7 linked regions of the Oryctolagus cuniculus genome follow. The main gene of each other region encodes a partner of the protein of the gene in region 7 in a complex. Links are inferred from orthologs where the notes say so. Each region holds a gene or a part of one and is shown on either strand. Other genes may lie near its edges. The genes, in order: DPF1, SMARCC1, ARID1B, ARID2, PBRM1, DPF3 and SMARCD1.

Region 1 (3,666 bases), on a different chromosome or scaffold from region 7:
GGCTGGGGGCAGGGTGAGACGGTGAGAGCCCCTCTCTCTGTCCCTCCCACCCCTAGAGTTTTACAAAGAATTGGCCTGGGTCCCCGAGGCACAAAGGAAACACACAGGTAGGGCCGCTCCCTGCGTGCCCCCCCACTCCAGCGTGCTCCCCCTGCAGCCGCCTTTGCCGGGCGCCCCGCCTGCCCTGTGCCCAGCCCCGCTCTGCTCTTTCAGCCAAGAAGGCGCCTGACGGCACCGTCATCCCCAACGGCTACTGCGACTTCTGCCTGGGTGGCTCCAAGAAGACGGGGTGTCCAGAGGACCTCATCTCCTGCGCGGACTGCGGGCGATCAGGTGATCCTGTCCCGGGCGGAGATGGCGGGTCCCAGAGCACCCTGGGCGCACGGGGGCGCTGCAGGGCCCTGGAGCTAACTTGGCTGCTGAGGCTGGGCAAACCCACTGGGGTCGCCGACTGGGGAATAGTGGCGTGTGGTTGGACGGCACTGGGGGAGTGCCATGTGCTTATCATGACACCGAGTGAAGTGAGAAAGGCATTGTGGGTAGCGGAGTAATGGCTTGCCACTGTGGCTTCCAGGCTGTGCCCGCCGCAGACCCGTGGCTAACGGAGTGTGGTTTCCCAAGATGGACTTGTGGGCAGGGGCCTGTCTGTGGTTGCCTCCACACGGTGGGTGGTGACCTGGGCTCGCCGCGGCCATCTGGTAGAATGGGGTGTCCTTGTGCGGGCAGCAGGTGTGTTGGGTGTCAGCCCCCGGGGAGTGGCGGACAGACTAGCACTGCACACCACTGTCAGTCAGTCACAGCTCGGCTGCTGGGGTGTCGCATGGAATGGGCCTTGGCTGCATGGAAGCAAGGTGTGGGGACCCAGCTGTGGCAGGCGGGGCTGATGTGGCCGCCACGTCACTGCGGTGAGCGGCTGTGGTTGTGGGTAACGGGACGTGGCTGCCTCAGCGCGTTGGTTAACAGACTGTGGTTGCCACGGTGTTGTGGGCGGTAGAAAGTGGTTGCCACAGCACTGTGGGTAATGGAATGCGGTTGCCATGGTATTCTGGGAGCAGTGTGGTTGCCATGGCGGCGGGGTAGGAGCCGGTGATGGCCACGGTAATGCTGCTTGCCGTCCGGTGTCCGGGCACTGAGGGCAGGGCAGGGGCAGGGGCAGGGTCAGTCTGTGGACCACAGCAGCTCACTCCAGCCTAATGAGCGGGGGTCGGGGCTGAACCCTCTCCTCGCCAGGGGACGAGGTCCTCCTAACCGCACCCCGCCCTCGGCCCCCAGGACACCCCTCGTGTTTACAGTTCACGGTGAACATGACGGCGGCTGTGCGCACCTATCGCTGGCAGTGCATCGAGTGCAAATCCTGCAGCCTGTGTGGCACCTCGGAGAACGACGTGAGTGCCCCCCCACCTCCCCCAGGACACGCCCCCGCGGCCCTCCCCGCCTGGCGCCTAACGCCTTCCCGGAGCCCCTGAGCGTGAACAGCAGTCATGTGCATGCCTTGTTACTGGTAGCCTGCGTCCTTTAGCTGGCCCGGCCCCTTCCCCTCCACACCTCCTCTCTGACCCAGAGGTAGGTGCCCTGGCCCACTGCGCAGAGAGGGGACGTGGCCGCCCAGGGCCGCCGGCTAGGACAATGGTAGTGCCTGCCTCCCAGGGCTCCCAGGGCTGCTACCCGGTCACCTCAGAGGACAGTGAGGTCACCTTAGATGCACAGAGCGCAGGTGGCCTGCCGGCAGCCTGCAGGCGTCCCCGCCCAGCCACGAGTCCAAGGTGCCAAGACCTCTTGCAAGGGACTGCTTCCCCCCTGCCCCCGGGACCCGAGCCCCTGCCCCAGCCCCCCACCCCGGTTTCTGGTGCCCGTGCCCCCAGGGTGCCAGCTGGGCGGGTCTCACCCCCCAGGACCAGTTGCTGTTTTGTGACGACTGCGATCGGGGTTACCACATGTACTGCCTGAGTCCCCCCATGGCGGAGCCCCCGGAAGGTGAGAGAAGAGGCAGGCGCGCGCGTGGGGGAGGGGGCGGCCGGGCCTGGGCCTGACTCTGTCCTCTGGCTGTCCCTGCAGGGAGCTGGAGCTGTCACCTCTGCCTTCGGCACCTGAAAGAGAAGGCCTCTGCCTACATCACCCTCACCTAGGCCTGGCTCTGCCTCTCCTGGGCCTCTGGGGTGGTGCTCCCACCTGCCTCTCCGGGTCCTCCTCTCGCCCTCGCCACCCAGATGTCCCACAGTGGTGGGGGGGCCGGGCCGCCCTCCCCTCTGTGCGAGCGGAATGTTGGCCCTGTGGGTTGGTGGGCCCAGTAGGGCCCCTCTCCCTGCCTCCCTCCCCACCCCTTGGCAAATGGGCACCAGGAACTTCCGCTCCCCTCAAAGCCATACCCCGCCTCTGGGCGGGCACAGGGGGGTGGATGCCAGCCAGGGGCTTGGACAGAGCCTTTTTCTAAAGAAAAAGACAAAAAAGTTAAAAAAAAAAAAAAAAGAAATTAATATATACAGAGTCCGCTAAGGCCTGGCTGGAGGGAGGGGCACTGCGAGCGCGTCCACTGGGCACCAGTCTCTGCCAGCTTCCTGTCTGGCGCCCCCTCCCCCCCCCCCGTTTCTGCAGCTGCAGCTGTCCCACCTCCCCACCCAAGGTGGGCACCATCCCCCCGTCGTGAGCACGCTGAGCGGGCATGGTGTCCACCCCGCCCGCTCCAGGTGCCCACCGTGGATACTGCATGATGTGAACCATGGTTTTCCGAACTCTGTTCCCGCCCCTCCCTGACAGCCCTGCCCTGTGCCCACCGCATGCCCGCCAGGGCTGGGGGTGGTGCCCGGCGGCGGGGCAAGGCGGGTCCCTGCCCAGCGCCCGCTGGAATGAGAAGCACAGACTGCAATGGACTCGTTCTCCCCCTCCCCGGCCCCCCTTCCCCACCCGGCCAGGCCGGGCTGCCCCTGCCACCCTCGCTGGCCATTTTGGGGATGGCGAGGGGGTGTGGTTGTTTCTTGTGGTTGTGTGTGTTTGTCGTTCGGGTTTAAAAAAAAGGGAACTTGAGACTGCAAATGGGGGAGGTGGTGGGCTTGGGGGTCTCCCCCCATCCAGGAGCACCCCTCCTTGTAAAGAGTCTCCTTTATTGCCTGCCTCTGCTGTGAATTAACTTGTTCTGTGTATTAAACCGGGCCTGACCCCTCTGCCACGACTGCCTGTTCTCCAGCCTGCTGTGGGGTGTCACCACGACGGGGATGGGGGGCCCTCGCTGGGGGAGAAGCAACTGAGCCGGCCCCTCCGGCTCCTCTTCCCCCGCACCCGCCCCTCTCTGGCTTTGTCCCAGCTCCTCCCAGCCTAGCCGGAAAGGAGAAGGGGGATGGGGTGGAGGGGGCTCCCACCCAGCCAGCTGTGGTTGCCCTGGCAACGGGCTGCTGCAGCTGCAGCGGGAGGCAGCCAGGAGGGAGGTGACAGGGGCTGGGGGAGGGAGGGCTGGGGTGGCCGGGGCTGGAGATCTAGAGGTGTCACTCAGACTGGCCATCACTTGGGGCTCCCTGACCTGGGTGCGGGGCAAAGCGAGCGAGAGGAGACGTTAGGGGTGGGCAGAAGGAAACATCTAGACTCAGGGTGATACATCAGGAGAAAGACTGAGGTTTAGGGGTGTGTGTGGGGGGAGAGTGAGGGAGAAGCGGGCCACAGACCATCAGGGGAGAG
Region 2 (4,131 bases), on a different chromosome or scaffold from region 7:
CTCACCGGATTTTCTCACAAGCACTTGGTCACTTTCTGCTCTGGGATCATAGCATTATGTCCATAGCTCTGTTAGGGATAACCATACTTGGATAAAAACTCAATATGGGGCCAGAATTGTGCACAGTGGGTTAAGCCGTGGCCTACCTCACCAGTATCCCCTATCAGAGGGCCAGTTGGCATCCTGACTGCTCTGCTTGTGATCCAGGCAATGGAAGATGGCCCTGAGTAGTTGGACCCCTGCCCTCAGTGTGGGAGACAAAGACAGAATTCCAGGCTCCTGACTTTGTTATAGCCACTTTGATAAACAACCAGCAGATGGAAGATAGTTTTTTCTGTCTTTCCCTGTCACTCTGCCTTTCAAATACATAAACCAATCTTAAACTCAAAACCTCCATTCCTGCGGGCCATACATTCCCCAAATATTTGTTAGCTAACAGGCAGAGTGGCTGGCGTTGTGGCTCAGTGGGTTGAGCCGCCAGTATCCCATACAAGCAACCTGTTCTAGCCCCAACTGTCCCACTTCCCATCCAGTGCCCTGCTGATGCGTCTAGGAAAGCGATGAGTGACCCGGATGCAATTTCAGGCTCCTGGCCCAGCCCTGGCCGGTGCAGCCATTTGGGGATGGAAAATGTCTCTCAACTCCGCCTTACAAATATTTTAAAAACAAAACAAGAACAGGCTGTTTCCGCAGCGCGAAGGGTACACCTGTGAACAAGATTAGGTTCTCATGCAGTCTATCTGCGCACACACACAAATAATAAAAACATCGGGTCACGTTCAGGGCTTCGCAGAACGTGTGAGCCACGGCTCAGGGGCCGGCCTTCGGAAGTACTTCCAGGCTGTGAAAGCGGCCGAGGCTCATGGGTGAAACCACAAAGCAAGACCCAGGAGGTCGCCGAACAACCCAGCGCGCAAAGGCCATAGGCAGGAAGGGGCGCGCGTGGCCGGGGCCACGAGGGGCGCGGAGGCCGCCCCGCGCCGTACAGGGTCCGGGCGAGCAGGGCGGGCGCGCAGCCGCACCGCGCCCAAGCGCCAAGGCCCGCAATCCGCAAGGGCTTCTCCCGGGCACTTATCAGCCCACGCCTTCCGTCGGCCAGCACAGACCCTCCTGGCGGCTGTCCACCGCGTGAGGCGCGCACACAAGAACCACAGGAAGTAGAGAGGCAGCCCCCGTGGCGCGGCGGAAGAGGCGGGCGGAGGCGCTGGCCCGCCGGCAGGGCACTGCGCAGGCGCGCGCGCGTGCTCGCGACGGTTACGGCGCCGGGGCCAACTCGGGGCGGGGTCGGGCTTCCGCGCCGGAAAGGGGTTGGCTGGGCGGGGCTGAGGGACGGCGGTGGTGGTGGTGGCGGCGGCGGCAGCAGCAGCGGCTGCGCGCGCGCGCGGGTGCGAACGGGGAACGCTGCGAGGGCCGGGCCGTGCCGGGCGGTGGGGACGACTGACGGCGACGATGGCCGCGGCAGCAGGCGGCGGCGGCGGCGGGCCTGGGGCAGCGGCAGGCGCCGCGGGCGCGGGGGGTGCGGCGGCGGCCGCGGGTCTGGCGGTTTATCGACGGAAGGACGGCGGTCCGGCCAGCAAGTTTTGGGAGAGCCCGGAGACAGTGTCCCAGCTGGATTCGGTGCGCGTCTGGCTGGGCAAGCACTACAAGAAGGTGGGTCCGCGCGCCCTTGGGGACCGGGAGGTCGCGCGGCGGGGGCCGGCGGCGGTCCCGGGCTTGGCGGGCCCCGGGGCCGCCCCTCCCCCCGCGCGCCACGAGGGACAACAAAGGCCGGCGCCGGGGCTGCCACGCCCCCGCCGGCCGCCCTGGGCGCCCCTCCGGCTCCCGCTTGGCTGCCGGGGGTCCCGGGCCTCGGCCCTGGGAGCCCGAGCGCTCGGGGCGGAAGCTCCTGCGGGCCTCGGTGCGCGACAGCCGGGCGGCGCGTGTGTCTTTTGTTGGCCGCCTCAGGTGTGGGAACAATGACCCCCCCCCCCCCAGTACCCAGCCGGCGTGGGCGCGCAGCCTCGGGGTTCGTCCCGAGAGTGGCCTCCGAGTGGAGGAGGACCCGGGTTTCGCTGCCCGCGGCTGGTTTGCCGCAGGCCTGTGGACGCTTGTCCCGGGCTTCACGTCACGACCAGTGGCACCGAGGAGAACTCGTGTCCGGTGAAGAAACGACGGGTTTTGGTTGTGCCCGTCTGCATGCTGCGAGTTCGAGGCTGTGTTCACCTGTGCCCTTCAGCCAGGCCTTCCCTGAGGACCCGCAATGTACAAGCGCACCCTACTTCGTGTCACCTTTATTTAATTCCTAGTGCTGGCCGCTGCCTGAAATTTGTGCTTGCTTGTTTCTCCTACCTTTGGGATTAAATTCTGCTGAATCATAGGTTTTCAAAGTTGTGACTTAACCCTTTGTTCAGAATTTTGAAAACCCTTTAAGTTTATGCTTCATGTAAATATTCCCAGAATGATTGCCTTGTAAGGTGGATGAAGCAGACAGCCACTCTCTGCCTCGAACTTCCCAAGCACCCTCTTTGACTTGTGCTCTCCCCCAGGGAGCAAGGGCACTGTCAGGCCTGTACCTGCTCTGGAACACGGTCGGTGCTCGGTGCCTCCCCTGAGCAGTTACTCAGTAAATACTTGCTGAACGAATGAAAAGATCGAGGTGTCTAGGAATCTGTTAGGGGTCTGCAGCTCAGTGAGTCTGTCTGTTTCAGCAGTCGTTAGGTGAGGGCAGGGATCTTGGGTTCCTTTGAGGTCGCTCACACTGATGCTTTCTTCAGAAACCACCGTTCCTGCTCTGAAGTTTGAGGAAGTGAGAGACAGTAGTCACATTTTTGGATGCATTGATTTTTTACCCCCTTTGAAGTTACATATGGGACTGTAGATTTTTCTCTACAGTATTGCTTTCTGTTGTAGTGACAAATTGGTCACTTTGTATATGGAATATAGCTTCTGGAAGTGGCTCACGGAGTTGAATATGTTCCAAAAATGTTAAATTTTTTTTAAAGTTGGTAATTTTCTCATCCAGTGCTTTGGGTCTTAAGGTCAAAGAAGATTTAACAAGAAAAGATTATCAGGAGTCATATTCCTTTGAAAATCAAGGAAAAGAGTGGAAAAAAAGTCAATGATAGTTATTTTGACTTCTCCAAATAATCAGTGTATTAATTTTGGTCCATTTTAAAGAGGGCTGCTTTATGCCTGGGTAATACCTCAGAAGTTTGAGTGACTGGGAAAGTAGCTAAGAGGCAGACTGAAGGATTTGACCCACAGCGTTGAGGCCACTAGGCCAGTGTTGACACACTGTTCCTGAGGCTTTAAAGACAAAGTCAAAGTTAAGTTTGATGTCTCAGGGCTTTGTAGAATCAGAATGTATTTCTTGGGCCTATCCAGGTTCAGAATTGTATATATCTCTTATGCCTGACAGCCAGAATTCTTTCAGCTTCCGGGAGTCATGTTGAAGTGGTAAAAATCCTAGTCAGAAGGCTCTTTGATTCTTTTTTGCATACTGTATTTCTGCTTGGTTTGTGTTTTGGTGGGTTTGAACTAAACATTTGTTTTGCATTTAGTAATGCATTTTCAGAGCAGTTAAAAAAAATTTTTTTTTTAGTACTTATTTGAAAGCGTTAAAGAGGGAGGTAGAGAGAGAGGTCTTCATCTGTTGATTCACTACCCAAATGGCCGAAATGGCTGGAGCTGGGCTGAGCTGAAGCCAGGAGCATCACATAAGGGCTGCGAGCACTTCAGGTGGCGGCTTTGCCTGCTTTGCCACAGCACTGCTCCAAGGCTAAGGTTTGTGGTGTGTGTTTTTTTTTTTTTTTTTTTTTAAGATTTTATTTATTTATTTAGAGGTAGAGTTACAGACTGAAAGAGGGAGAGACAGAAAGGCTTTCCATCTGCTGTTTTGCTCCCCAAATGGCTGCAACAGTTGGAGCTGAGCCGATCCAGGGGCCAGGAGCTTCCTCTGGGTCCCTGACGTGGGCACAGGGGGCCCAAACACTTGAGTTATCTTCTGCTTTCACAGGCCACAAGCAGAGAGCTGGATCAGGAGAAGAGCAGCTGGGACACAAACTGGTGCCTATATGGGAAGCCTGCGCCACAGGCAAAGACTCAGTGCTGGCCCCGCCCCCCCGGGCTAATTTTTAAGCCGATGATTTTGTA
Region 3 (4,130 bases), on a different chromosome or scaffold from region 7:
ATCTAGCTTATCAATCTGAATAAAAGCACTGTATGATTATTTGCATATAGTTTGATTATCAATGTCTGAAGCATAAACAAGATTGATTTTAGAATACATGTATATAGATACATAAAACATTTATATTTGCATATGAAAACTTTAAAATGCAACATATGTGGTTAATACGTATAATTAGTATGTATTTGAATATATAGAGAAAAGCCAGGGAAAAAAATGTCAAAAGGCCCACTAAAAGAGATGTAGTGTTCTCTTGGCACAAACTGATGATTTGGCATGACTTCCTCTTACAGTTCTGTTATTGTCTCTTACCCGTTTTCCAGTTGTTTGGACAGAATGGCAATTTGTTGTTTCTTCTCCAAATAACGACCCTTGGGTGTGCGCCTGGCTCCCCGCCCCCACCAGTCACCAGTAGCTCCGTCTGGCTATCTGTCTCTAGTCAGGTAACATGCTTACACTTGGTCAAGCATACATAACTAGTGCATCCGAAACAAGCCGAAATGCTTGCTATGGAAAGCTGAGGAATGAAATGATTTTGGAAAACTATACTCTACCAAAATCGTGTATCTCATTTCTGGGAGTGTGACCCCTGGAGAGCTGGAGAGTACTTCTTAAGAAGTACTGTTACTAAAGATACTCATAATGATACTAGGTGGTAAACTCATAATAAAAACTGTTGCAATACACAACTGTGTACTATTTCTGCTTTTACATTAGATTGGACTGTTTTATAGTTATTGATCTTGTATTTATATTACATTTAACATCTATTGAGTTTTGTTTCATGTTACTTGGAAAGAAACTTTCTCAAGAGGGTTCTCTGTGCCCGTTACCCTCTGAAATAACGCTGGAAGGTGCTACTACATCACCGGAGGGGGGGGGATTCGACTTTGGACAAATAGTGGCATCTGCGTGGGAAAGCTGTGTGCCGCGTGACCCTCGGCTGCGTGTGCCCGAGACAGAGAGGACACAGGGGTGCGAGCTCTCCCCACAGACTCCTTGCACAGGAATCTAGGGTGCCTTAAAAACAGCCACGTAGCCATTATCTCTGGGGCAGGTGCCGGCATCGGTGAGCATCCATTGAGTACCTGCTGTGTACAGGGCTCTGTGCTCTTCGAACGCGGCTAACCCTCCCCGAAAGCCCTTCCTGAATTCTGCAGTTGGAAGAAGTTGTGGGAATCACGCCGATGGCCAGGAATCAAGGCAGGGAGGCCAACGTTCTGGAAAATTACATAACTCCTGTGAGAGCCAGCGCTTTTGCAGATCGCCCAAATATTTTCTTTCCTCCGTGGGCTCCTCGTCACCTCGGAGGCCCACGGACAACTTCGTGCCCCAGCCCTTCTTCCCTCTTTTGTCTGCTCGCCACAGACTCGTTTTTCCACCTTTGGAGCGTTCCTTTTAGACGCGAAAACAAACACGCGAACGCCCGGTTGGCAAGGAGACGGAGGCACGAGGGGAAAGTGCAGCTCCGGCCGCCTCTCGCCGCCGCGCTCCGAGCGGCTGCCCAGCCGGCCTTGGCCCGGGCCTGCGCGCGGCCCCCGGCCCCCGGCCCCCGGCCCCCGAGGCTGCGCCGGCACGGGCGGGCGGCTGCGGCCCGCGCCGAGTCCAGTCCGCGTTTTGCGAGTGCACAGGAGCAATCAGAGAGAAGTGGGATAATAGTTGCTCCAGCTCGCTCGGCTCCTTCTCGTGCCATGCTGGGCCCGATAGGCTCAGCCGGTCGTGTATTTACCCATATCCGGGTTAGAGAGGAAAAGAGAAAAGTTTCGTTTAAACCTGAACTAAAAACTTTCACCGTGAAAGCACACAGCGGGAGCAGGCCCAGACCGTAAGGCGTGCCCCGGGCCCGGCGCTCCGGCGGGGCCTGCGGAGGGGGAGGGGGCCGGCGGCTTCCCGGCGGGCCGCGTGGATGCGCGCAGGAGGGGCCGCGGCCTGAAAAGTGGGGGTATTGTCTCCCCCCGCCGCCCGCCCGGCCTCGCCACGCCGCGGCGATCATGGCCGCGCGGGCAGCAGCGGCGGCGGCGGCGCGGGCGCGGGCGGGCAGCGGCGAGCGGCGGGCGCCCCCCGGGCCGCGGCCGGCGCCCGGGGCCCGGGACCTGGAGGCGGGGGCGCGCGGCGCGGCGGCGGCACCGGCGGCACCGGGACCCATGCTGGGGGGCGGCGGCGGCGGCGGCCTGAATAATGTGCACCACCACCCCCTGCACCCCCGTCACGAGCTGAACATGGCCCATAACGCGAGCGCCGCGGCCCCGGCCGCCGCCGCCAGCACTAGCAGCGCCAAGAGCGGCGGCTCGGAGGCGGCTCTCAAGGAGGCTGGAAGCGCCGCCGCGCTGTCCTCCTCCTCCTCCTCCTCCGCGGCGGCGGCGGCGGCGGCGTCCTCCTCTTCCTCCTCGTCGGGCCCGGGCTCGGCCATGGAGACGGGGCTGCTCCCCAACCACAAACTGAAAGCCGTTGGCGAGGCCCCCGCCGCACCGCCCCACCACCACCACCACCACCATGCCCACCACCACGACCACCATGCCCACCTCCACCACCACCACCACCATCACCACCACCACCACGCACTACAGCAGCAGCTAAACCAGTTCCAGCAGCAGCAGCAACAGCAGCAGCAGCAGCAGCAGCAACAACATCCCATTTCCAACAACAGCCTGGGCGGCGCGGGCGGCGGCGGCGGCGCGCCTCAGCCGGGCCCCGACATGGAGCAGCCGCAACATGGAGGCGCCAAGGACAGTGCCGCGGGCAGCCAGGCCGACCCCCCGGGCCAGCCGCTGCTGAGCAAGCCGGGCGACGAGGACGACGCGCCGCCCAAGATGGGGGAGCCGGCGGGCGGCCGCTACGAGCACCCGGGCCTGGGCGCCCTGGGCGCGCAGCAGTCGCCGGCCGCCGTGCCCGGGGGCGGCGGCCAGGCGGCCGTCTCGGAGTTTAATAATTACTATGGCAGCGCTGCCCCTGCTAGCGGCGGCCCCGGCGGCCGCGCTGGGCCTTGCTTTGATCAACATGGCGGACAACAAAGCCCCGGGATGGGGATGATGCATTCCGCCTCAGCCGCCGCCGGGGCCCCCAGCAGCATGGACCCCCTGCAGAACTCCCACGAAGGGTACCCCAACAGCCAGTACAACCATTATCCGGGCTACAGCCGGCCCGGCGCGGGCGGCGGCGGCGGCGGCGGCGGAGGCGGAGGAGGAGGAGGAGGCAGCGGAGGAGGAGGAGGAGGAGGAGGAGCAGGAGCAGGAGCAGGAGCAGGAGCGGGAGCTGTGGCGGCGGCGGCCGCGGCGGCGGCAGCAGCAGCAGCAGGAGGCGGCGGCGGCGGCGGCGGCAGCTATGGGGGCTCGTCCTCGGGGTACGGGGTGCTGAGCTCCCCCCGGCAGCAGGGCGGCGGCATGATGATGGGCCCCGGGGGCGGCGGGGCCGCGAGCCTCAGCAAGGCGGCCGCCGGCGCGGCGGCGGGGGGCTTCCAGCGCTTCGCCGGGCAGAACCAGCACCCGTCGGGGGCCACCCCGACCCTCAACCAGCTGCTCACCTCGCCCAGCCCCATGATGCGGAGCTACGGCGGCAGCTACCCCGACTACAGCAGCCCCAGCGCGCCGCCGCCGCCGCCGTCGCAGCCCCAGTCCCAGGCGGCGGCGGCGGCGGGGGCGGCGGCGGGCGGCCAGCAGGCGGCCGCGGGCATGGGCTTGGGCAAGGACATGGGCGCCCAGTATGCCGCTGCCAGCCCGGCCTGGGCGGCCGCGCAACAAAGGAGTCACCCGGCGATGAGTCCCGGCACCCCCGGACCGACCATGGGCAGATCCCAGGTAACCCCCGCGCCGGCCGGGCCTGCTTCCGCCCGGCGGCCTCGCCGCGCCGCGAGCCCGAGTTTCTTTCTTTGCCGCGTACTTTTCCCCAGTTTTCTGGTTGGGGGGCGGCGGGGGCGCGGCGCCCAGGGCCATCTTCGCGGGCGGCCGCCTCCCGCCGAGGTCGGGCGCGCGAGCGTCCGCCCGCCGAGTCCGGGCCGCGCCGTGCGGGCCGCGCAGGGCTTCGCCCGCGGCCGCGGGCCGGGCCGGGCGCTCCGGTGCCCGGTGGACCCGCAGCCTCGCCCCGCCGGCTCTCCCGAGGCGCTGGGGTGGTGACGGGATTCCGAGACAGCGCCC
Region 4 (3,500 bases), on a different chromosome or scaffold from region 7:
AAACATGTGTGTGTAAATCAAACATAGAAGCACTCAAAAAAGACAGAGGCTCAGAATTTTCTAAATTCTCCAAATGATGTTAGGTAGATGTTCTCTACCTTGAGATTACTAATTTGGGTCACAAAAAAACCTCAAAGATCCAACCATGTGTCATGGTTAACAACTGAAAAGTGTCCTATTACAGCCGGAGAAAAAGCATAGGCCTGCCCGAGTGTGAGCGAGCGACCACAGCATCACCTCCAGGCTGCATCAGCGACCGAGAACAGTGGGTAAGAGGCACACCGTGGTGCGGTGACTCACCTGCGGGACCACATTCTGTGCATACGTTGGTGGATGCTGCTGCTTCTGCTGCGCAGCACTTTCTATTGCTACTTTAGCTACAGTGCTTGGATCTGCTCCTGCTGGCACAGCAACCATTGTGGCACTGCAGCCAGCGTTGTTGGGGTCACTGATTGTAACAATCCGAACTCCGACTTTACTGGGAATTCCTGGGACTGTCTCCCTGTCACTGTCCTCTGCTGGCCGCTTGACAGTTTTGCACTCTGCTGTGCCATTTGCAGACCGAACGTCAGATGACAGGGCAGAATGGGACACTCGGGGTCCTGAGTGAGGAACTGTTAGGATCTGATGCCCCTGTATAACAGAGGTTGTAGAATGTGGTGAGACAACTACACTTGGGCGTTGCTGAGGCACATCTGAATTCAAACTTGAAGCTAGAGGTCCATTGGGCAAATCAGTACCACTAGACTGCTGTGCTGCCAGGGCTGAAGCCTCCTGTATGCTGCTTCCAGATGGTGAACCACCCAAAGTTAATACAGGTCCATTAGAAATCCTTTCTAATTGATCACCTTTGGCAGTATCTTGCTGAGTGGCATCTAAAGTCCCTTGTGGTTCCATTGGAGATATCTCACCATTTCCTACATGATTGGAAGTTTTGTGATTTGGAATGTTTTTGCTTAAATGAGAACCATCTCCTTTATCAAAATCACAGATTCCATTAACCAGGGGTTTCTTCAAATCACTTTTGATATCCTGCACGTCCATCTGTTCTGAGTTCTGTTTTCCAGATGCTCCATTCTCACCGAAATCTGTCGATGGCCCATTACTAAAGAGTGAGCATGGACTGGCCTCACTCTGAATTTTCCCTGAGTTTGAAGGAGGTAGACTTGAGTCACTGTACTTTCTCCCATTTAAAAGACTTCCCACCTGTATGTCACTTTCCTTTGTATCCCCATTGCTGGTGTTTGTAGTTCCTCGTCGGCAGGACGGGTTCTCCATGACTTCAATTTTACGTTCATGAACATGTAAACCTGTTGCTTCCTTTGCTTCCTCCTCCTTTTGGCAAATTATTTTGTCACCTCTGAATGGGGGAGTAGCAGTAGTACATGATGATTGTCCGGCTGGAGATGCCTGCGTGGCCGGAAGCGTTTGCACCTGAAGCCCAACTCCTGCCTGCGTGCCACTCACGGTGATTCCTGCGGGAGCGATGAGCTGAGCTGCATTTCCCTGACTCACAGTTGCAGTTGCAAAACTCGTATTTGGCACAACTGTTATGGTTACCTGGTTGCCAGATGTCCCTTGAAAAATGGTTGCGGGGCTGTTCGAGATCAGCGGGCCTGGTAATATCTGTAAGTTCGAGATGGGCACAGTCTGCACTCCCCCTGTGGGTGGCATTGCACTTTGGACCAACTGAACATTTTGCTGCCCAACCAACAGCTGCTGAGCTGGAGTTTGCCCCTGCACTCCAAAGCCTGCTGGTTGGTTATTGGCCACCTGATAGACCACCTGAGGGCTAGGCGCTCTTGCATTGTTAGGGGGAGGAATCTGTGGAGCTGGGAGGATAAGCTTACCACCTGGTGTTGAAGGACCACGCTTTGGGAGCAGCAGCTGTTTTATCAGACTCGACTCACCAGAAGCAGGCTGCCCAACTCCTGCGTTTGCTTGCTGAGGTTGAACTTGCATCTGGACTTGTGGCTGCTGAACTTGTACTTGTACCTGCTGTGGTGGGGGTGCTGGTGAATGCTGCTGCTGTTGCTGCCTTTTGACAGACAGCATTTGACTGACAGTAGGGGGTGGTCCCTGTGACTGAGGGGTGGAAGATGATGACAGGGCAGTAGGGACCTGGTTATTAGTAGATGGGACAGGTGATGGTGAAGAAGATGGAGTTATGTTTGGTTGTCCAGTTAGCTGAACTGCCTGACCAGCCGGAAGAGCTGTTGGATTAGCAAGAACAATCTGGTGAATGGCTGGTGCATACGTTGGACCTTGTTGAGCTGGCTGACTTACAATCACTACACTTTGTTGGGCTGGCTGCTGTGGCTGTTGAATAGGCTGCTGGACCACTGTTGATGAAACTTGCTGAGAAGGGAGAGGCTTTGGTGCAATGTTCTGAAACCCTACCCTGGAGGGCTGCGGACTTGGGACACCAGCAATAGTAACCATTTGTCCTGCAGCTACCTGAAAATTCTGCACTGAAGTTGCTGAGACAATATTGGATGCAGAGGTTGTTACATATGGTGGGGGTGCTATGATGACAGTGTCCTGTGGCTGGCTACCAGCTGACGTCGGCTGAGATGAAGTCTGCACAGGCTGGGGTGAGGTGGTGATTAGCTGCTGACCCTGTGAAACTGCAGAAGTGCATGCTGGTATATTCTGTACTCTGCCAAATATATGACTCTGTGGGACCGCTTGCTGAATTACTGTAACAGGGGTGCCTGAAGCTATCTGTCCTGGTACCACTGTGTGTAATGCAGACGGCTGTGGGATTACAGATGGGTGGTGTAGCAAAGTCTGGGAGTTCACAACGGTAACAGGTTGTGGCCCTGCACTAGGATTCTGCACCACAGAAGTCTGGGGAGGCCCTCCTCCCACAGCAAGGCTAACAGGAACTGCTGTCTGGGGCACAGAGTTCTGGATTACTGTCGCCTTAACAACTTCACAAGAAATTGGAGCTTTATTTTGAATGACAGTCACTGGAGCATTCTGCTGCTGGTGGGTATGAACTGAAGGATTTGGTGGAATTCTTGAAACAGTCTGAGCCACAGTATGAACACCTTGTACTGGAAAAGACATTTGTGTTGCAGTCAAGCTTGAAGACTGGTTGGTAACAGGAGTCCTCTGATAATGGTTTCCTACAGCTTGTGATCCATGAGGGATTCCTGAAAACAGGGGGAAAAAAGCCAAAATTCAAATGAAATGCACTGGAAGTCTGCAATTAGGACTTACTTTACTTAATGCAAAAAAATACCGTTAAAAAATTAATATTCAGCAACTTCAAATCATATGATTATGAGAAAATAACAGCTCAAGTAAGAAAGCACTACCAGAAAAACAAGGAAAAGCTGTACACTTTAAATTTACATAATACAACGCTTAAAACACAATAGAAATTATTACCTGCAGGTGGAGGAGCTGGAGACCCGTCAGGAAGAGAATCGACACGAACCACAGGCGTCGCCGCTGGCTGCTGCTGGTAGTACATCTGCACGGGGAGTGGGAGG
Region 5 (2,905 bases), on a different chromosome or scaffold from region 7:
GGTGCCCCTGGCACGACACAGATGAACAGGGGGAGCAGAACTCTGTGGATTTGTGTGTGCTGCCCTGCAGAGCAGTGACAGAGGCAGTCTAGGGAGTTCCATTGTGTTGGGGAGTCCAAATTGGATGAGTGTCTAGAATGGAGTGGGGCAGCTTACCAGATGAACCATGCATTCACAAATAATCACCAGGATCCTACTGTGGTGATCCAGGTACACTTAGAGTGTTGGAATATAAAAATCCTTGCTTTTAAAGTAGAAGCTTGTTTCTTAGTTTGTTTTTCCTCTAACAAATAAAAGAATGCCTAATACTTCTTGGAAGTGGCATTTAGCAGTTGTGACCCTAGAATAATAGACTACTTTTGGCTGATCAAAATACCAGCATTTTTAATCCAGGGGAACTATAGACGCTGGAGGTAGCTTCTCTGAATCCTGCGCAGCCAGCGGGACTTATTAAGCTTTGGTTGTGCTTTGTGTGTTAGTTTTTAATAAACTGGGCTCCTTGCCTGTTTGTGTTTTATCAGAATCACAAATGGAGAGCCTTGAGATAAAAATAGCCTCAGACACTAAATTTAGGACATTTCATTATTATCAACAAGTGCCTGTGAGATGACAACTGTTCATGAGCGTTCACTAAGGGAAGTCTACCTGATTGTTCCCAGAGACAGTACAAATATAATGGCGCATTAAGTCTTTGTTCCTTTGTCGTTTTAGCAGCAAGGCTACCCCACTTCCACATGATCTCTTTTCAGAGTGATTCTCTATCAGATGGAAGCATCTTCTCTCTGCCAACACTAGTAACTCCGGTTAGAGCCAGGTGCTGGTTGCTGGCCTATGAACAGACAGCAAGGCTACACCTCCAGACTCCACAAATTTAATTCACTGTTTCCATAGCCTTTTCCTTTGTGTCCCTAGTATCCTAGCATATTGCTTACTGCTAAGCCTGATTTTCAGTGCCATTCCTGCTGAAATTAAACACAGGCCCTATTTATAGGACAATCTATTGTCAGAAGAAAAATACCTCAATAATAGAGGTATATTCTGACTAATGCTCACCTAGGGAAGTACTAGGGTTTTGTGCAGAGTTCAAATCCTTTCTAAGCCATAAGCAGTGGATGTGCATCTAACAAGTTACACTAGCATTGTGCCTTAAGTACCTAGAAACAAAAGAACGTAAGTTTTCTATTTGAATCCTGTTTGGGGTGCTTAGGGTTCCTGTCCACAAACACTCAAGAGCAGAGGTACATAGGGTGGCATTATGAATGTCATCATTTCTTATCAGACAGTAGTTTTTCAGTCATCTCAACCCAGAGCCTCTAATTGTGCATTGCCTTCTGCATTATAGGTGTCATGAACCAAGGAGTGGCCCCTATGGTAGGGACTCCAGCTCCAGGTGGAAGTCCTTATGGACAACAGGTGAGCCTCCCATTTTGATTTTCTGCATTAGAATTCTAGTCATCTTCCTTCTTAGAACATGTGCCCAGTATCTTTTTGCTTCACCATGTGGTCCTGTGCTCTTTCAGGTGGGAGTTTTGGGACCTCCTGGGCAGCAAGCACCACCTCCATATCCCGGCCCACATCCAGCTGGCCCCCCTGTCATACAGCAGCCAACAACACCCATGTTTGTGGCTCCCCCACCAAAGACCCAACGACTGCTCCACTCAGAGGCCTACCTGAAATACATTGAAGGACTCAGTGCTGAGTCCAACAGCATTAGCAAGTGGGACCAGACCCTGGCAGGTAAGAGTCCTTCCAAATAAACCTGCGTTCTCAAAGCCTCCTCACTGCTATTGGCATCTTCTACAGTAAGCGTCTCTCTTTCTTACACAAGTAAAATAAATTATGTCTTAGTTTGGAGCTTCTTTGCCTATTGACATCACACACTGAAATAGGGGTTTTGTGGCCAAATTTCAAGCTTAGTTTTGTCACAGACATCACTTTGCAAATAGAATCTTTTTCTTTTTCTTTCTTTCTTTTTTTTTTTTTTTTTTTTTTTTTTGGACAGGCAGAGTGAACAGTGAGAGAGAAAGGTCTTCCTTTGCCGTTGGTTCACCCTCCAATGGCCGCTGCAGCTGGCGCACTGTGGCCGGTGCACCACGCTGATCTGAAGCCGGGAGCCAGGTGCTTCTCCTGGTCTCCCATGCGGTGCAGGGCCCAAGCACTTGGGCCACCCTCCACTGCACTCCCGGGCCATAGCAGAGAGCCGGCCTGGAAGAGGGGCAACCGGGACAGAATCCGGCGCCCCGACTGGGACTAGAACCCGGTGTGCCGGCACCGCAAGGTGGAGGATTAGCCTAGTGAGCCGCGGCGCCGGCAGAATCTGAATATTTTTCAGGCAGTTGGGCATTAGTGTAAATCTATTTGGGTAAATTAAAAATTATTCAGAGGCAGTCATTTGGCCTAGAAATTAAGAAGGCAATTTAGGATGCTTACGTCCCATGTTGGAGTACCTGGCTTCAAACTCTGATTCCCACTTCCTAATTCCAGCTTCCTCCCAATGCAGACCCTGAAAGACATTGGTGATGGCTAGAGTAATTGAGTTTCTGCCACTAATGAGGAAGAACTGGGTTGAGTTCTCAGCTCCTGACTTTAGCCTGGTTGAGTTCCAACTGTTGCAGGCTTTTGTGGAGTGAACCACTGGATAGAAGATTCTGTATCTTCCTTTCTTTGTCTTCCTGTCTCTCTTGCCCTCTGCTTTTCAAATAAATAAAATTATTTTCTTCATTAAAAAAGAAAAAGAGTAGCAGTTATGTTTTCCTTTTGTTCACATGTGTACCTTTTTAGGCATTTTTGTTAGCATCAAAGTAATTAGTAAATACTAGGGGCGCCTATAATAAAATAATGATTGGATCTTTTAGAGCCTAGTAAAATGATACAAGAAATTTACTTGGAAATATTCTGTAGTTAA
Region 6 (3,500 bases), on a different chromosome or scaffold from region 7:
TCCATCAGGAGTTCTGCAAGTTCTCATCAGTGTGGTGTGGCTGACATTGTGGCATGGCCAGTGTGGTCAGCATGATTCCTGGAGGGGAGCTGGAACAGTCAGGTCACCCTGAACAGGGTGGGCCATCGGCCTGGGCTGAGCTGTTGTAAGTTTTGTCCCACTGTGCTACATCAGCTGGGTTGAGGAGGCATTTAAGCTGGTGTGACACAGATGCACATTTTCTAGGAAATTATTATTCTTGATCAATCTGGTGATCCTTGTCACCAACTTTGATTACATCAGCTTATGTGCCATTCAGTTTTATAGCATTTTAATGGGCTTTCACCCTCCCCTCCCAAATTTATTTCCAGCTGTGTGACTATTCTAATTTGATTATTTTTTTGATTTTGCAACTACCGGCACAGTTTCTGAGCATGCTATGCCTTCCTTGGGAGTACGAGGATCTTCAGGGGGTGAAAAAAACCAAAGCTTTCTTTTTTTCCAGATGCTTGTCAAAAAGTTGATTAGTTGTATTCTCCCAGAGTAAGATGTTTGCTTGGAACTCTTTGATAGAATCTGACCCATTGATTTTCTAAAAACAGTATAGAAAACTTCATTTAGAACTTTGCTTTCTAACAAGTAGTGGTGAAGATGGGGTAACTGGAAGCCTGGTGCACTGTGGGTGGGAATGTGAAATGAGATAGCCACTAAGGACAATCATATGAGTGGTTGCTTGACAGATTGAAAATGGGACTACCGTATGATCCAGCAATCCCACTCCTGGGTGTGTGCCCGAAATAATTAAAAGCAGGGACTTGAACAAGTACTTATATGCCCAGAGTCCATGGCACCATTATTCCCAATAGCTCAAACGTGGAAGCAACCATGGATAGAAGAATGAATAAGCAAAATGTGGTTTATACAGACAATGGAATATTATCTAACTTTAAAAAGTAAGGTGCTTAGATGAACTGAAATCAAAGGCAGGGAAAGTCGAGTGTTGTTTGCCAGGGTTGGGGAGAAGGTGGAATAAGGAGTTAGTGTTTAAGCGGTAGAGTTTCACTTGCACAATGAAGAGTTCTAGAGCTGGATGGTGGTGATGGTTGTGCAACCACGTGAAGGTACTTAATACCACTGAACTGTATACTTAGAAATGATTAAGATGATCAATTTTATGTCTGTTTTTAAAAAAGAATTGTAAAAGCCCAACTTGGCTTTCTTTATTATATTTTGGTTAAGAAAAACCAGATTTTTTTTTAATTTTTATTTTTTGACAGGCAGAGTGGACAGTGAGAGAGAGAGACAGAGAGAAAGGTCTTCCTTTGCCGTTGGTTCACCCTCCAATGGCCGCCGCGGCCGGTGCGCTGCGGCCGGCGCGCCGCGCTGATCCAATGGCAGGAGCCAGGAGCCAGGTGCTTTTCCTGGTCTCCCATGGGGTGCAGGGCCCAAGCACCTGGGCCATCCTCCACTGCACTCCCTGGCCACAGCAGAGAGCTGGCCTGGAAGAGGGGCAACCGGGACAGAATCCGGCGCCCCAACCGGGACTAGAACCCGGTGTGCCGGCGCCGCTAGGCGGAGGATTAGCCTAGTGAGCCGCGGCGCCGGCCGAAAAACCAGATTTTTAACCCAGAGATTTTCTCTCCTAGATTTTGACTTTCTCAAATCTACAATAGAGCCAAAAAGGACTCGCAATGCTGGTTCAGAATGAGCGACCTGATTCTCCTTTGCACCTCCAGTTCCTGTGTCTCCTCCCCTTCTCACCTCCCTCCCCTCCCCAAGAAGTTCAAATTTACCTGGCAGATGTTATTTTTTTAAAAAATTTATTAATTTCACACCTTTCTTTTTTTTAAAAAAAAGATTTTATTTACTAATTTGAGAGAGAGATTTACAGGCAGAGAGAGGGAGAGAGAGAGAGGTCTTCCATCTGCTGGTTCACTCCCCAGATGGCCTCAACAGCCAGAGCTGTGCTGATCTAAAGCCAGGAGCCAGGTGCTTCTTCCTTGCCTCCCATGTAGGTGCAGGGGCCCAAGGACTTGGGGCATCTTCTACTGCTTTTCCAGGCCATAGCAGAGAGCCGGCTGGGAAGTGAAGCAGCTGTGCCTCAAACTGGCACCTATATGGGATGCTGATGGCACAGGCAAAGGCTTAGCCTACAAGCCACAGCACTGGAAGTTATGTTATTATATTTCTATTTCCTTAAGCCATTTATTACCCTCCACCACGTGCCTCTGCTTTATTTATTAGGCATTTGATCTCGTTGATTATTTTTGTGCTTTACATTAGATTAGTTAAGTCAATGGCATGTTTTTGGTCTTCAAAAGGACACCTTCTTAACATTAGCATCACCGTATGTCTGTGGATCCCAGAGACTTGAAAATGTAGAATTTCCTGGGCTTAATCAGATCCACACTCCAGCAAAACAGGTCTCGCTACTTGTGTTTTAAACTCCCAAGAGTTGAATGATTCTGAGCTCAACTATTATTTTGAATGCTGCTTTTGTTTGCTTCCCATCAGAGAAAGTCATTTTTCTTGAAGGATGTGGTTTCAAAGTGTGGGTGTCTGTCCCTGTCTGCCCCGGTTCCCCTGTGAATCGCTCTGCGTTGCGGCGAGTTGCAGCCTCTGGTCAGAGTGTTTCTCTCCCGCAGTGGCAGGAATCCGGGTAGCTTGGCTGGGAGCTTGGGTTCCTCTGGAGCGTCTGCCTGTGACTGCAGAGCACAGGGCGTGGGTCACGACGGCTGGGAGGGGGATTCTAGAAGCAGACCCCACGCGGCATGTTGTTCCGGAGAGAGGCCACATGCTTTCTACGGCGCGGCCTCGTCACTGTTCCTGGTGGCTCATTCGCTGCGCTCCAGGCTGTCTGTTGATGGAGCTTCGGGTTGCCGGTGGGTTTGGGGTTGGAAATAGAACCTGGCGGAGGCGCTCCTGGCACTGCGCTCCGTGCGCTTCGTCTTGATCCTCATAACCGCACAGATTCTTCCCGGGAGATGGATGCGGGGGCGTCGGGTTGCCTCTGGGGCTGTTTCGGGTTCCCCCGGCCTCATGCCTTCCGTCCCTGTCTCCCGCAGGCTCGGGGACCAGTTCTACAAGGAAGCCATCGAGCACTGCCGGAGCTACAACTCGCGCCTGTGCGCGGAGCGCAGCGTGCGCCTCCCCTTCCTGGACTCGCAGACCGGGGTGGCCCAGAACAACTGCTACATCTGGATGGAGAAACGGCACCGAGGGCCAGGTGAGCCGCGCCGCCCCTGGGTGTGCGGCCGCCTGGCTGGAGCCGGGAGGACAGGGCTGGGGAACCCACCGGGTGGGATGGGGGCTGCACGTGGTCCTGGCGCGGGTTCCAAGGAATGTCACTAGGCCTGGGTGGGACACCGAATTCCGGAGGCATCCTGCATATGTGTCCCCAAGAGAAGGCCAGGCCCGTGGAGAGCAGCCCTCCCCTGTCCCTCTGTGGTGTGGGTCCCAGGCTGGAAATCTGCACGCAGATCTGGGCGAGAGGCCTTGTCACCAGACCTCTGCCCCTCAGC
Region 7 (3,500 bases):
TCTGTTCACTTTTCTTGTTCCCAAGTTAGAGAGCGAGGCACTTCTAGGCAGATACGGAGTGAAGAAGAGTACTTCCTCCTCAGAGCAGCATTTCTCTGTAGTTAGACAGCGTCTCTCTGTAGTTAGACAGCGTCTCTCTGTAGTTATCGTCTTGCCTTCCTCGCTTTGCTGCAGATTCTATCCAGTCAGGGGCCTGAACCATCACTCACCTGGTAGCAGTTCCTATACCCTATAAGTTGGCACTGGAGCTGGTCTGTCCTGTATTCCCGTGCTTAAAGTTAGGGATGTGTGTGTGTGTACACATTATTTTCAGCGTCAAAGGTTGGGGCTGGCGCTGTGGCTAGGTGGATAAAGCTACCTCCTGTGACACCAGCATCTCATATGGACGCTGATTCGAGTCCCGGCTGCCCCACTTCCGATCCAGCTCCCTGCCAGTGTTCTGAGAAAGATGACCCAAGTGTTTGGGCCCCTGCTACCTATGTGGAGACCCAGGTGAAGCTCCTGGCTCCAGCCTAGCCCAGTGCTGGCTGTTGCAGTCATCTGAGGACTGAGCCAGCTGATAAAAGGTCTCTTTCTGTCTCCCTCCCTCTGTGACTCTAACTTTCAAAATAAATAAGAGGGTTTTTTTTTTTTTTTTTTTAAAGTTGTGTTTGTTTCAAAGGTGGAGTTACAGAGAACAGGGAGTGAGGGAGAGATGTCTTCCGTCTGCTGGTTCGTTCCCCAAATGGCCTCGCCAGCTGGAACTGGGTCAGTCTGAGGCCTGGAGCCAAGAGCTTCTTCCGGGTCTCCCACGTGGGTGGTACGGGGCCCAGGTTCTTGGGCCATCTTCTGCTCTCCCAGGCAGTAGCAGGGAACTGGATCAGAAGCAGAACAGCTGGGACTCAAACCAGCGCTCCTATGGGATGCGGGCAGCATCCTTACCTGTTGTGCCACAATACTGGCCACCCCCAAGTGTTGTCTTAATCACTGTGCCAACTACCCGTTCCTTACCTTTGACTTTGTAAAAAAGCCAGCCCTGTCGAGGAGTAATTTATATTTCGTAAACTGTAGCCATTTGAAGTATAGTTTGAAGACTTTGGGCACCTGTGTACACTGGGAAGCTGCCATTGCAATGAAAGGCGAGAAGGTTCTGTCACACCTGAAAGTCCTCAGGCCCTTTTGGAGTCGGCTCCTTTTCCTGTCCCTGATGCTGTGTTGTCAGATCTTGGGACAAACCCCTCACCAGGCCGTTTGCTTCCCTCCCCAGTGTTGACCCGAATGATCAGAAGAAGACAGCCTGTTACGACATTGACGTGGAGGTGGATGACACCTTGAAGACTCAGATGAATTCTTTCCTGCTGTCCACTGCCAGCCAGCAGGAGATCGCGACCCTGGACAACAAGGTAGGGGCCCCGCCTAGATAGCGTGGCTGTCGCCAGCAGGCCACCTTTTGCTGCTTGGTATTCATTCTGAATAAAGGGCACTTCATGAAGGACGGAATTGAGAGGTAGATCTGTTGTGACGTGAGGAAATTCGGAGATGCATCGGAGTGCTTTTGCATGCGCGTTTCCTGGGATCTTTTTGAGGGTTCCCCAATACGTGGACAGCCAGCGTCTGTCAGGTGCCGTGGTTGGTGCTGATTGGAGTCAACCTCCCCATGAATCCCCTCCTCTGGACTCTGGCTGCCCCTTTTAATAGCATTAAGCCTCCGTCTTTCTGATCTGTGAAGTGGGGACCATTAACACCTGTTCCTCGGAGGTTGCCATTCGGAGTCAATGAAATCGTGTGTGTAAAGACATGAGTGTGTTTCCGGCGTGTAAGAACAAGAGTGGGAAATCCTGCTGCTGTCGCTGCTGTCTCCATTCTCCTACTAACGGTAGACAGAGTCCCGGACAGTGAAGTCACTGGGGATCCAGGGGAGAACAGGGAGAGCTGATGCACTAGTAAACCCTGAACGACCACATGGAAGTTCCCACAGGGGTGGAAGGGTAGCAGGGCCGGGGACCTTAGGGGCAGAGGGCAGTCCAGAAAGATGGAGTGGGCTCTATAGACTTCCAGAAGTGAGAGAGAGCCCGGCGTGTTCAAGAAGAACAAGCTGTTAGGGCTCTAGACACAGCACAGGGTGCTGGGCAGGGAAACAGGAGCCTGATCATGAAGCTTTGGTGCAGGGAGAACTGGTTTGCGCGTCGTCCTGGACAGGAGGCCGGGAGTCTGCTGGGGCGAGCATCCCCAGTGGAGGTGGGGGCGCTGTTGCATCTGGAGCGATCACTGGCAGGAAGTAGAAAGAGGGGCAGATCTGGAAGCCGCCGGAAGCCCCAGTGAGGCTGGTACAGTAATCCGTGTGTGAGCTATTGGGGCTTTCAACATAAGGCGTGCCCAGTGAGGCTGGAAACGGGTCGACAGGCTTGACGGGGCCTCAAGTGCAATCAAGGGATTTGGCCACTGTTTAGATGGGAGTGAGGGGTGGAGTGCTGAGGGGGAGGCATTGAGAGGACTCCCAGGCTGGTGGCAGTGATGGGCAATGCTGGGAGCAGAGGAGGAGAAGCAGGTGCGGGGAGAGGGCCATGAACTTCGTTTTGGATGTGGTGAGCGTCAGATGCCTTGCAATGTCGAGACAGTAGCCAATCTGCTTGGCGTTCAGGAAATGGACTGCTGACTGGGGAGCTGTTCCCCTGTCGGTGTACACAGAAGACGTACAAGACAGACATTGCCAGGAAGAGTGTGCAGAACAAGGAGAGAGCTGGGAACCAGACACCTGCTGAGCCAGCCCTGCGCGCCTCCTTTTCCACCTCACAGTTGTTTGGCGCCTGTTTCTGCTTGGATTAAGTATTCTTTGCAGCTGTGCCCATGGTATGTATTGAGGAGTCGAGAATGGAAACTTCTCTCACAGGAGGTAAACAGAGAGACAGAAACAGGTGCATATCACCTGCTGGGGAGCCCCAAGGCCGGAGCAGTTGGCACCCTGTGCAGTGGCGCTGGCTCTGAGCTGGATCTAGGCCAGGAGTGACACACAGAGACATCAGGTGCCGCTTCATTCTGTTTGTCCAGCTTGAAACTGGTATAGCTTCCATCTCGCTTTCAGATCCATGAGACGATAGAAACCATCAACCAGCTGAAGACGCAGCGAGAGTTCATGCTAAGCTTTGCCAGAGACCCCCAGGGCTTCATCAATGACTGGCTTCAGTCCCAGTGCCGAGACCTCAAGGTAAGGAAGCCGGGGCTGATCCGCGGGCCTCAGATCTGCGAGGCACTCGTCTGCTTTATGGCAGAGCACCTGGTGGAAGAGCCAGGCAGGGAAGAGAGAGTGCACCCAGGTTTGCTTGAGCACGCCCCAGGGTCCAGGTTACAGTGAAGTGGGGAAGCAGAGGCACGCTGTCGGGTGCTGACTTAGTGTCCGTGCTCTGTGGCATCGGGGATTTGCGGTGCAAGGCCTGGCTCTGCCTTCAGCGCAGCCGTCAGTCTGGAGAAACCAGGCCAGTGTGATTAGAGTAGGGAACCAAGTTAAGACATTATTAGAACTG

The links.
Region 1: SMARCD1 (region 7) and DPF1 share a complex: the UniProt entries of both Homo sapiens proteins name them as parts of the neuron-specific chromatin remodeling complex. The link is inferred for Oryctolagus cuniculus from reciprocal best matches to the Homo sapiens genes SMARCD1 and DPF1.
Region 2: SMARCD1 (region 7) and SMARCC1 share a complex: the UniProt entries of both Homo sapiens proteins name them as parts of the BAF complex. The link is inferred for Oryctolagus cuniculus from reciprocal best matches to the Homo sapiens genes SMARCD1 and SMARCC1.
Region 3: SMARCD1 (region 7) and ARID1B share a complex: the UniProt entries of both Homo sapiens proteins name them as parts of the neuron-specific chromatin remodeling complex. The link is inferred for Oryctolagus cuniculus from reciprocal best matches to the Homo sapiens genes SMARCD1 and ARID1B.
Region 4: SMARCD1 (region 7) and ARID2 share a complex: the UniProt entries of both Homo sapiens proteins name them as parts of the SWI/SNF-B (PBAF) chromatin remodeling complex. The link is inferred for Oryctolagus cuniculus from reciprocal best matches to the Homo sapiens genes SMARCD1 and ARID2.
Region 5: SMARCD1 (region 7) and PBRM1 share a complex: the UniProt entries of both Homo sapiens proteins name them as parts of the SWI/SNF-B (PBAF) chromatin remodeling complex. The link is inferred for Oryctolagus cuniculus from reciprocal best matches to the Homo sapiens genes SMARCD1 and PBRM1.
Region 6: SMARCD1 (region 7) and DPF3 share a complex: the UniProt entries of both Homo sapiens proteins name them as parts of the BAF complex. The link is inferred for Oryctolagus cuniculus from reciprocal best matches to the Homo sapiens genes SMARCD1 and DPF3.

Annotation. Positions count from the first base shown.
Region 1 is NC_091449.1:16,363,328-16,366,993, forward strand, and holds the end of DPF1 (zinc finger protein neuro-d4), read left to right. Parts: intron 1-56; coding exon 57-107; intron 108-213; coding exon 214-333; intron 334-1,272; coding exon 1,273-1,385; intron 1,386-1,862; coding exon 1,863-1,974; intron 1,975-2,055; coding exon 2,056-2,126; 3' UTR 2,127-3,166; downstream 3,167-3,666. UniProt on the Homo sapiens protein: May have an important role in developing neurons by participating in regulation of cell survival, possibly as a neurospecific transcription factor. Belongs to the neuron-specific chromatin remodeling complex (nBAF complex).
Region 2 is NC_091441.1:101,097,169-101,101,299, forward strand, and holds the start of SMARCC1 (SWI/SNF complex subunit SMARCC1), read left to right. Parts: upstream 1-1,331; 5' UTR 1,332-1,449; coding exon 1,450-1,650; intron 1,651-4,131. UniProt on the Homo sapiens protein: Involved in transcriptional activation and repression of select genes by chromatin remodeling (alteration of DNA-nucleosome topology).
Region 3 is NC_091436.1:10,839,573-10,843,702, reverse strand, and holds the start of ARID1B (AT-rich interactive domain-containing protein 1B), read left to right. Parts: upstream 1-1,330; 5' UTR 1,331-1,991; coding exon 1,992-3,794; intron 3,795-4,130. UniProt on the Homo sapiens protein: Involved in transcriptional activation and repression of select genes by chromatin remodeling (alteration of DNA-nucleosome topology).
Region 4 is NC_091440.1:136,620,721-136,624,220, reverse strand, and holds part of ARID2 (AT-rich interactive domain-containing protein 2), read right to left. Parts: coding exon 3,397-3,500; intron 3,159-3,396; coding exon 301-3,158; intron 1-300. UniProt on the Homo sapiens protein: Involved in transcriptional activation and repression of select genes by chromatin remodeling (alteration of DNA-nucleosome topology). Required for the stability of the SWI/SNF chromatin remodeling complex SWI/SNF-B (PBAF).
Region 5 is NC_091441.1:97,173,613-97,176,517, forward strand, and holds part of PBRM1 (protein polybromo-1), read left to right. Parts: intron 1-1,342; coding exon 1,343-1,413; intron 1,414-1,520; coding exon 1,521-1,737; intron 1,738-2,905. UniProt on the Homo sapiens protein: Involved in transcriptional activation and repression of select genes by chromatin remodeling (alteration of DNA-nucleosome topology). Required for the stability of the SWI/SNF chromatin remodeling complex SWI/SNF-B (PBAF).
Region 6 is NC_091451.1:18,897,046-18,900,545, reverse strand, and holds part of DPF3 (zinc finger protein DPF3), read left to right. Parts: intron 1-3,044; coding exon 3,045-3,205; intron 3,206-3,500. UniProt on the Homo sapiens protein: Belongs to the neuron-specific chromatin remodeling complex (nBAF complex).
Region 7 is NC_091442.1:53,425,896-53,429,395, forward strand, and holds part of SMARCD1 (SWI/SNF-related matrix-associated actin-dependent regulator of chromatin subfamily D member 1), read left to right. Parts: intron 1-1,246; coding exon 1,247-1,382; intron 1,383-3,061; coding exon 3,062-3,184; intron 3,185-3,500. UniProt on the Homo sapiens protein: Involved in transcriptional activation and repression of select genes by chromatin remodeling (alteration of DNA-nucleosome topology).